Linked DNA regions of Caenorhabditis elegans. The protein of the gene in region 1 interacts with the protein of each later gene in a pairwise test. Each region holds a gene or a part of one and is shown in the gene's direction. Other genes may lie near its edges.

Region 1 (4,542 bases):
TGAACAAGAAGTCGTTGGGAAGCGAGAAGGAAGTTGCCGCTATTATGGCAAATCTTTTGAACGCAGTTCAATATCTGCACTCCCAACAAGTTGCTCATCGTGATCTGACAGCTGCAAATATTCTTTTCGCTTTAAAGGACGGAGATCCAAGTTCGTTGAGAATTGTTGATTTTGGGTTTGCCAAGCAATCGAGAGCAGAAAATGGAATGCTCATGACTCCATGTTACACTGCTCAATTTGTAAGTTTATAAGATTTATATGCAGTTCTTAGACAGTTTAAAATTCTAGGTGGCTCCGGAAGTTCTTCGCAAACAAGGATACGATCGTTCTTGTGATGTCTGGTCCCTTGGAGTTCTACTTCACACAATGCTCACCGGCTGCACTCCGTTCGCGATGGGTCCAAATGATACACCTGATCAGATATTACAACGTGTTGGAGATGGAAAGATTTCAATGACACATCCAGTTTGGGACACAATTTCCGATGAAGCAAAGGATCTTGTAAGAAAGATGTTAGATGTCGATCCAAATAGAAGAGTCACAGCAAAACAAGCATTGCAACATAAGTGGATCGGACAAAAGGAAGCACTTCCGGATCGGCCAATTCAATCAGAACAAGTTGGAGAGCTTGATATGCAAAATGTCAAGGTAATTGGATGGTTTTTTTGTATCACATGAAAAACGATTATAATTTAAAAATTCAAACATAACGAGATTTTTTACTTAAAAAAAAACAAAAAAGGTATTCTGCCCAAAATCCGAAAAAATTTTCCTCAAAAATTCAACCGTTTTGAATATCGATACATAATAGTTACAATACGGTTTCGTTTTCTAATAAGAGGATTCGGAGCGCCATGTTTTAATTAATTGTGAAATCAGTTTCAGGTTGCACTTGAGCAGACATATAAAGCAATCGCATCGGCTCCAAGTGTTCAACTTCGTCCAGTTGGATCGTCTGCACTTGCGAAACGACGAATGAAGGAGATTCTTTACGCCAACTACACGAAGAATGTGTCAGCAAATGCATGGTGCGTTTTTTTTCTTCAATGTCGCTGGCTCTTATCGTGACAACGCAGACCAGCCATCTTATAAATTCACTTTGACCTTCCATAAAGTTGCAGAACCGACCGATCAATGTCAAATTCTTGCCAACCGCTCACCAAAATGTACCGTCGAGACGACTTGTAAATACATCGATTCATTTTTACGCACGGATTTTACTTTTTTCTTTTTTAAATACTACTAACATTTATCCAATTGTTTCAACAAATGCTCCTCATTGAAGCCCAATCACCAATTTAAATAACTATTTATTGACTCCATAATTACATTCATTTCATCCAAACAATAACTAACTTTATTTACTCATCACACTCATCCCTTCCAAATCCTCTATCGCCTATGTTGTGATTAAAATTGCGCATCCAAAAGAATTTTCAGCCAAATACGGGATTTTCTGCATTGAATCATTTATTTCCTTCTAATTCTTCATTTATTCATATTCTCTTATATGCAGAGATAAGATTTTGTGAATGTTTTAAATTTCTAATGCTCCCTTTAATTTGTTTTAAATTGAGAAAATCAATAAATTGCTTGTACAGTTCACAATAGTTTTTGGTCAAACAGTGGTTGATAAGATAAGATAGTTAGCTTTTTGATTTCTGATTCGGTGAACTTAATTTTTTTTCATTTTCGTATTTCCAATTTTCAGCCATGACTACAAAAATAACAATGGAAGAAATGAGAGCAGCTTATCAAAGAACTGCTCCATTTCTTCATAAAACACTTGTTATAACAAGTGAAAATATTGATGAAAAAGTTGGAAATGGAACACATGTTCTATTCAAATGTGAACATTTACAAAAAACTGGAAGTTTCAAAGCCAGAGGAGCACTGAATTCTGCTATTTTGGCAAAAGAGAAAAATGCAAAAGGAATGGTAAGTTTTTTTTTTGATTCATATGAGCAAAAATATTTTTTCAATTTTACAATCTGATTCCCAGATGTTGCTCCATAAATTTTAAACTTTTTGATATTTTCCAAAATTTTCAGTCAAAGTTTTGAAAAACTGCCAATTTTTTCAAAAATGTGGATTTATCGAGCATTGCTGCAAGTTCGAATTCCTAGAATGTTAATATACAATAAATTGAAAAGAAATAATTTCATAAACTCTGTAGAAGATAAATTTTTGGTCGATTTCCGAAATGAAGATAGGTGAAAGTTTTACTAAATCTTGTAACTGAATAAGTGAATCTTTATTAGAAAACGTTTTAGTCCAAAAATTTCAATTTTTAGATTGCCCATTCGTCTGGAAATCACGGGCAAGCTCTAGCGTGGGCTGCTCAAAAAATCGGACTTCCTTGTACAATTGTCGTTCCAAAAAATGCTCCAATTTCTAAAATTGAAGGAATGAGAGAATACAATGCGAATATTGTTTTCTGTGAGCCAACTGTTACTAGTCGGTGAGCCTAGAAATTTTATAAGAAACTAGGGATTTTACTTTAAAACGCGTTTCCCATTTCATCTAATTGGTTCGAGACTGGGCGGAGAAAAACGCTGATTGGACTCACAATTTCCATTTTAGATGAAATCAATCTGGAAAAATATAGGAATTTGCATTTTAAAAAGTTGATTTTTATCTTTCCGGTTTTTACAAAAAATCTAATTCTTTATCAGCCTAACTTCACAAATAAATTACAGTTTCCAGAGAATCTGTATGTGCTGATTTGACTGAAAAACTTGAGTATTATTGTGTAGAACCTTATAATTGTGTTTCAATGATCAACGGACATGTAAGTTGTTTTCAATTAATAAAACAACTAAATAATATTCTTTTTCCACACAGTCATCAGTTGCATTTGAAATCCTGGAACAGGTTGGCAATGAGATTGATTCCATTTTTTTATCTGTTGGAGGTGGTGGTTTAGCTTCATCTGTTGCTTTTCTGATAGGCAACTTGAGGCCAGACATCGAAGGTTTGTCAAATCACATTGTCACTTGTTTTTACTATATCTACATTTATAGTATACCTTGTGCAACCAGCACAGAAAGAACTTTCGAACTTTCTGGAAAATGGAATTAAGTGTCCGGTTGACACATTGGATACAATTGCTGATGGAGTTCGTGTAGCAAGAGTTGGACCGCTTTGTGAACCAATACTCAAACAGTATTGTGCACAAAAAGTTATCAGTGTGGTAAGTGTAATATATGAAGGTTAAAAGTGGATCAGCGTGCATTGGGGCTTTTGTATTTAAATGCTGATCAGGTGAAGTGTAGGGAGTTCGAAGACACTGATTGGTTCGAAAGTGGGCGTGGCTTCTTGTTTGGGAGGCTGTTCAAACGGTGGAATTAGTCAGTGTTCAAAATTCAGGTTACTAAATGTTGAAATTGTGTTTCTTTTTCGATTTTCTTAAATGGAATTTCAGTTTTGGCTTATTTTGAGAATTATTAAACAAAAACCTAATTAATGTTACTTGACATATGAGTAAATATTAAAGTACTAGAGTTACTTCTATTCAAGACCCTATGTACTGCAAAATATTGTGAGTTTTGAAGTAGAAACCACGTGACAAGGAGATGAAAGCATATATATATATGATATCTACAAACTATTTTACAGAAGGAAGACGAGATCAAAGAAGGATTGAAACTCATATGGACAAGAATGAAGGTTACTTTCAGAAAATTAACATTGCTTAATCTTTATTTTCAGCAACGAATTGAACCAACTGCAGCACTTGCATTTGCAGGAGTTCTCTACCACAAACCGGCTCACATCAAACGTCCACTAGTCATCCTATGCGGAGGAAATGTTGATACTAATTATGTGATCAATTAATTAATATTAATTTTTTGAAATTTTTTGATGAAATTGTTAAACTGATAAATAAAAAAAAGCCAAATTGTGAAACGAGAAGTTTGAACTGCATTCTTCTATAAAACAGTGTAAACGAGGGAAACGTTTTTTTCGTTTCGCGGAAGTTTCAAAAACGGTCAAAGCTATCATCTTTTCTGCAAACAAGAAAATTCAGGTGAATAGTTGCTTCGTGTATAACTTGTATTCTCGAAACTCAAACATGCGGCAACTACCTTATTAACATATCGTCGTGATATCTGCGTCTATTTCTCTCTCTTTCTGTAAGGGGTACAATCATCGTTTATTCTTCACCAACTTGCAATTAGTCTTCAAAAGACGCAGACTGCGTGATTGATAACATCTGCAGGAAAATCACAGTTCTTGCGTTTTACAATGATAATTCATCAATTTCTCCAAGTTTTTAGGATTTGTTGTTCATTTTTACTGAGAATCAACTTAATTACCCCAACTCTTCTAGAAACTGGAATTTTTTTTAAAAATTAATTTTATTTCTATATTTAAAATAATTTAGAGAAGACTTGCCACTTTCATTTTCGGTACTTTTTTCTTTTCTTTTTTATCTAACCACTTTCTGTGATTCTTAAAGATCGAATCTGTCAATGTGACATTAGTTATCTTCGAACGAAAATGATGAGCGACGATATGCTTGACGAGAATGATGAGGTA
Region 2 (5,719 bases), on another chromosome or scaffold:
AGACATTGGTATTACGTTGATCTCAATTATGGTAACCCAAGTCTGATTCTAGTCTTGCCAATCTTTTGTCCAAGATTACAGTTAGGAACAAATTAGCGCCAAATGTCGAAGCCTAAAGAAAATCCGTGTTTTTCCTGTTTTTAATACAATAGAGAATTGTCTCTGAGATTGTGAGTAATTATTATTTTGTTGTCGCCCACGAGCTCCTCCAAATAGAGATTTTCTGCCTTGTGTTCTACAAAATTTAAATAACAAGTCTACCTACTACAACTCTTTATATTATGTATATTACCTAGAATTGTATTTTATGGAAACTCACGTTCACTCAATTTATTGTACCTTTCTTCGTTCTCAAATCCTTCTTTCTCAATTTCTAGAATTTAATTTTAACAGGATTACTCGTTAGAAACCAGAATTCGTTTTGAAAAGTCTCGATGTTTGTGAAGAACTTCGATGATTCGCTTTTTTTCAAATAAATTTGAAATATGTGTTTTTGAGTTCTGTCTGCTTCTGATAGTGAACATTTTTTGAAAGTGGATTTCCATCGCAGAATTTTTTTCAGACATTTTGAAGAAGGATTTTCCAATTATTAAAGTGATTCAGCCTGCACATATTATAAAACTTTCCCATCAATTGTTCTGGAATTTAGATTAAAAAATTTCCTCATCGTTGAGTTAATCCCATATGTTCCTATTTATTTGACTATTTATTTCAAATGAATAATAACGAGTGATTGTGAGTCGTCATGATGATATCTCACTCTTTTATTCCCAGACGCCTGAGTGTTCGAACAAAAAGCGCCTCATTTTTGATTTGAAATTCTATTTTCGAGTATGCCTTTTTCAACAACTTCTTCTTCGTCTCCTTTCTTCTTCACCTGCCCCATCTTCTGAATGTTTGAAACTCAATTTTCGCCTCTGAAGGATAAGAAGAAGAGCACAAGGCTAAGATATTTGAATTCGTGCTTTTTGAGAATTCTCTTCTCCCATTCATTCATCTTCCTGAACTTTATTTACCAATTTTAGATTCTGACACGTCATAACTTCGTTTTTGCAAGTGAATACTCAAAGCTCACGTTCGTCAAATTCAAAGTTTAGGTGATCAATTTTTCGAATGGATTTTTTTCTTTCGAATATTTTCTTTTAAATCCCTTTGAAATTATACATCAAAAACTTGAAAATTCATGTGTTAAGTTACATGTATTGCCTTTACAGTGGTTGAAGCGGATTTTTTAAAAATTCTACGCGCAGATTTGTTTCAGTTTTTTTTCATTGGTATTTGTAGCGTTTTCCTGGTTTCAAGCATTCCAAAAATAAAAAAAACATTTTCTAGGAATAGTAATTTTATCAAAATAGTTTCTTTCGCTGTTATCGTTCACTGCAAGTTTTTTTGTCGCTTGGTTCAAATTTACATAACCTTGTAAACTTCAGATTTTTCTATAGATCAGAAAGATTCTTCTGAGACCAGTCTACGTTTTTGTCTTGGGAATAGACTTCTAACAATAATATTATGCAGATTACTTCTGAAACATTCAGTTGTAACTATAAAAAATACACCAGTTTCTGCTTCTCAAGAGCTGAGATTTGATACTTGTCTGATTCGAATGATCAATATTTATTGGTACATAGGACTCCAATTTTAATAAGAGACTGTGTTTTGTTTTTTCATGAAACATCATCAAACTTTTTTCTTTTTCACCAAATATCAAAGTTCAGAAACATCCATTCGAATGCTCGCTGGTCCATGAAAATTCGTCAATTCCTACAACCCAGTTTCTGCCTCCTTTTTAACTCAAAATTTAAAATCCCCTTCAAGAATCATAAATTTTGAAATTTCTTGGCGCCCCTCTCACAGATTGGCCCCCGGAGAGACTGGCGCCATTCGCCTGCCATCTCTGCCTTTTTCTCTATTATGTTTGCCTCTCTAGGTCTCTGTCTTTTCTATCAGTTACTTTTATTGCAATTTTTCGTGGGGGTATAGCTCAGGGGTAGAGCGCTCGCTTCGCATGTGAGAAGTCTGGGGTTCAATTCCCCATACCTCCAAATCTATTTTTCAATTCTGGAAATTTTGGAGTTTCAGGAATGAATGAGGAGGTCCCGTTGATTGAGTCACCAGTAGCAGGACCTGTACCGAATGGATCAGTTGTTAGGCCTCCTGACATTGTTTTTGTCAATGTTGGTGGACGTAGAGCTCGGCTCAACTCGGACATCATCATAAGACGGCTTGCCACATCACGACTTGCTGTATTCTGTGAAAAATCACATGTTGAACGGCTGACAGATTGTGATGCCTTCTTTGAAAGCACATCGGAGTACTACTTTGAAAGATCGCCAATTATTTTTGAATACGTAATTGATTTCTACGTAACTGGAAAACTTCATCGTCCAATGGATATTTGTCCGATTCGATTGAGATATGAATTGGACTATTGGAGAATTCCCACGCCGTTTATGTCACCATGCTGTATTCTTGAAGAAAATAACAATATAGCTGGGAAAATGTCAACTGAGAAAGTAGGTATCCATATATGATTTGAAGTTAATTATTTTTATTTTAGGCATTTGTTGATTCTTCATTACCGTCTTCATGTTTTGATAAAGTCGTGTTAGGACCACAACGACTAAAATTATACAGATTAATGGAAAATCCGAGATCATCTTCTGGTGCAAAAATATTCTCAGTTGGATCAGCTCTTTTTGTGCTTCTTTCCTTGCTCGGACTAATCCTAAGCTCAATGCCAGAGCTGCAGGATGAAAATAAAGAACCTCATTATCTCCTTCATTGGCTGGAATTATTGTATGTCTAGTATGAACATATCAGAAGTTATAATACAATGTTTGCAGGTGTATGGTGTACTTCACATTTGAATACCTTGCACGTCTCCTTGTGAATCCGAAAAAAGCAGAATTTATTAGGAGTCCACTGAACGTTATTGACTTGCTGACTGTGTTGCCGTTTATGATTGAAGCGTTTAATGAATTGCAATGGATGAAAGAGTTTAGAGGTATATAATCATGACATTTTGCCCCTTAAAATTCCAAAAAAATTACAGGTGCAATGCTTGTGGTTCGAGTAATGAGACTTGCCCGTGTAGCGCGTATCTTCAAGCTCGCCAGGTACTCAACTGGTCTCCGTGCCTTTGGAGAAACAATGAAAAAGTCTGCGGCAGAGCTCAGTATGCTTGGAATGTTTTTGGTAACAGGTAATATTTCCTTAATTTCATAGTATATTCCCGTTGAAATTATACTGTTTCAAAGTTGTAAAGCTGCAGCTAATACCAAAAATATGAACATCCAGCTATAGCTAATTCCTCTGAGTCAATTTTTTATTGTTCGTATGCTAGAAAACTGTAAAACAGAAAAAACGAAAATGAATTTTAACCCGTGAAAATGAATGAAATGTTGATGCTTGAAATTTAACAGGAATCATGCTGTTCTCAACTGCAATTTATTTCTTCGAGCGAGATGAGCCCAACTCCAAGTTCTACAGTATTCCAGCAGCCTGCTGGTGGTGTAAGTTCTTTGAAAACTTCAAACAATTAATGGAGCGATGTTATTCGAAATTTCTAAATTATGGAAAACATACTTGGTGTTTCGTTGAATTTTAAAACTGATAAAAAGGTTGAAGTCTGAAACCTTTACTGTTATTTTGCAAAAGATAAGATATTATGATAATCATAGTGTGAAATGATATATTTAGTATGATAGACTGTTTTACTTGATTTTGAAATTACGTCGGATGGGCAACTCATTTCAGAAACATCAAAAATAAATTTTAAGGATTTAGGAAAAATGACTATAGTTGAATATGAATATACAACTCCTATTTTAGATTATGCCAAACATGTAGTTTAAGTGTTGATGTTATTTTCTTTTTTTTTTAGTTGCAAAATTCAATTTTAAAAATTTTATAGGTAAATATTTATCTTTTGATTATTTGTATCTAAACATGATATAGATCCGAAAATGCAAAATTGCAGTACATTTCACAAAAATGCCGAATTTCTCAAAATTTTTGGTAACTTACCAAAAGTTTGACTGAAATTGTTTTATGTGAATTTTTTAATGGGATTTTGATTATGGCTGCAGAGTACAATGAAATTTTGCTAGAATAATGCAAATTTCAAAAGTTTATGAAGTGTTCGGTTAGTGCTTTCATCTAGATTTAACCTCTGAAAGCCGTGCCAATACGTGGATTTGTGAGTTTGACTTCACAATCGTTTTGTTGTATACTTCATTTGAAAAAACTGTAGTGACTTCCATCTTGCAAAAACACGTGGTGCCACGGATTCCAGAAGTTAGACCAAGATGCGGTACCATGACTACTCGTGGGCTTCCTATTCTTAAACTAATATAATTATTTTCAGGTGTCATAACAATGACCACAGTTGGCTATGGTGATTTGGTGCCTATAACTGCTGGAGGAAAAGTGGTTGCTGCTTTGGCCTCAGTGTGTGGAATCATTGTGCTCGCATTCCCAATTTCAATGATAATCGACAAATTTGCTGAATCGACAGGAGGGTGGAGCGGTGGAGATGGAGACGAAGAACAAGGGCACATGATTGTGCATCGGACTGTACACCCATTGAATAATGGAGCACCGGCTGCCCAACCAGTGAAAAAGAAGAGCAAACGATATGTTGGATTCTGATTGTTAATATTATTATTTATCTTATCAATCATTTTTCTCCTTCTTGTTTTTAATTTACCCCTTTTATTTGTAAATATACACCAAACGGGTTCGATTTTGTCCCAGTTTTTTGTCTCCAAAAATGTTCCTTATTTCTTTCATTAATTGTTTAGGTTTGTCAGAGAATTTGAATTTTAGGACATTTCATTAGTGCTGAAATTGTGCGAATTATTCTAAAATTCAAAGCAAATTGAACCCTTTTCTGATATTCCTATTATTGGTGTCAAAAACTTGCCACTCTAGAATCTCCATAGATCTCTTCTCATTTTCTGGTTAGGTACCTTTGGGTTAATGTCCACTCGATTTCCGATTTCTTCAATTTCTGAACTCCATCGTTTTCACATTTTTCAAACAATAATAAATTATCTGTACCGACCCCCGTACCGTTTCTTCATCCTTTTTTACTGATAAAAACGATCATACTAAACTTGTAATTAATTTTTTTTTTTTTTTTTTTCATCAGACTAAAAGTCGCGAAAAACGATAAGGAGACCCTTCCATTTCGCTTCCCAGTTTTGCACCGACGTTGTTCTCAACATGTACGCAAAGTTTTCTTACGAATTGAGTTTCAGATAAATAAATATGACAGAAGTTGATATAATTGACGATGAATTCATTTTGACCTACAATCCACCAAATGATGTATTCAAAGAGTTTGTGCATCTAGTATCTACTACTGAAGGATGGGCATTTCAGGTATGAACTTAGATGTCTTTATAACTTGCCTAACTTATTTCACCCATCAGTTCCAAATTTTTATTATCACCTCAATCTTTTCAAAAACTTTGTTAACCGACAAAATATTTTATTTTCGTTCACTATAATTTGGACAGTATGCAAGGAAAATCACAAAATAATCTTTAATCACTTTATGTGATCTTTTAGGAAAATGACTACGACATATGGAAAAATAATTATTCCAAGCACTGGATGGTCATGATTCAACAAAAAGGTAATTTATCCAACTTCTACGATCAAAAAAAACTGACTGCTCGCTTTTTAAAATTTAATGCACAATCTTAGTGTTGTC

The links.
Region 2: the proteins of serr-1 (region 1) and kvs-3 interact in a two-hybrid assay, tested with the Caenorhabditis elegans proteins (one large-scale study listed by BioGRID).

What each region holds. Positions count from the first base shown.
Region 1 is NC_003279.8:8,570,919-8,575,460, reverse strand, and holds serr-1 (Serine racemase), read left to right. Parts: upstream 1-1,711; 5' UTR 1,712-1,713; coding exon 1,714-1,938; intron 1,939-2,294; coding exon 2,295-2,461; intron 2,462-2,706; coding exon 2,707-2,791; intron 2,792-2,844; coding exon 2,845-2,974; intron 2,975-3,023; coding exon 3,024-3,193; intron 3,194-3,618; coding exon 3,619-3,669; intron 3,670-3,711; coding exon 3,712-3,837; 3' UTR 3,838-3,905; downstream 3,906-4,542. Other genes in the region: rskn-1 (Ribosomal protein S6 kinase), read left to right, coding at 1-239, 289-648, 880-1,028, 1,116-1,188; gon-2 (Transient receptor potential channel), read left to right, coding at 4,504-4,539.
Region 2 is NC_003283.11:9,316,232-9,321,950, forward strand, and holds kvs-3 (BTB domain-containing protein), read left to right. Parts: upstream 1-2,079; 5' UTR 2,080-2,081; coding exon 2,082-2,513; intron 2,514-2,557; coding exon 2,558-2,796; intron 2,797-2,843; coding exon 2,844-3,004; intron 3,005-3,052; coding exon 3,053-3,202; intron 3,203-3,422; coding exon 3,423-3,512; intron 3,513-4,366; coding exon 4,367-4,650; 3' UTR 4,651-5,116; downstream 5,117-5,719. Other genes in the region: F44A2.7 (N-acetyltransferase domain-containing protein), read left to right, coding at 5,272-5,385, 5,575-5,641.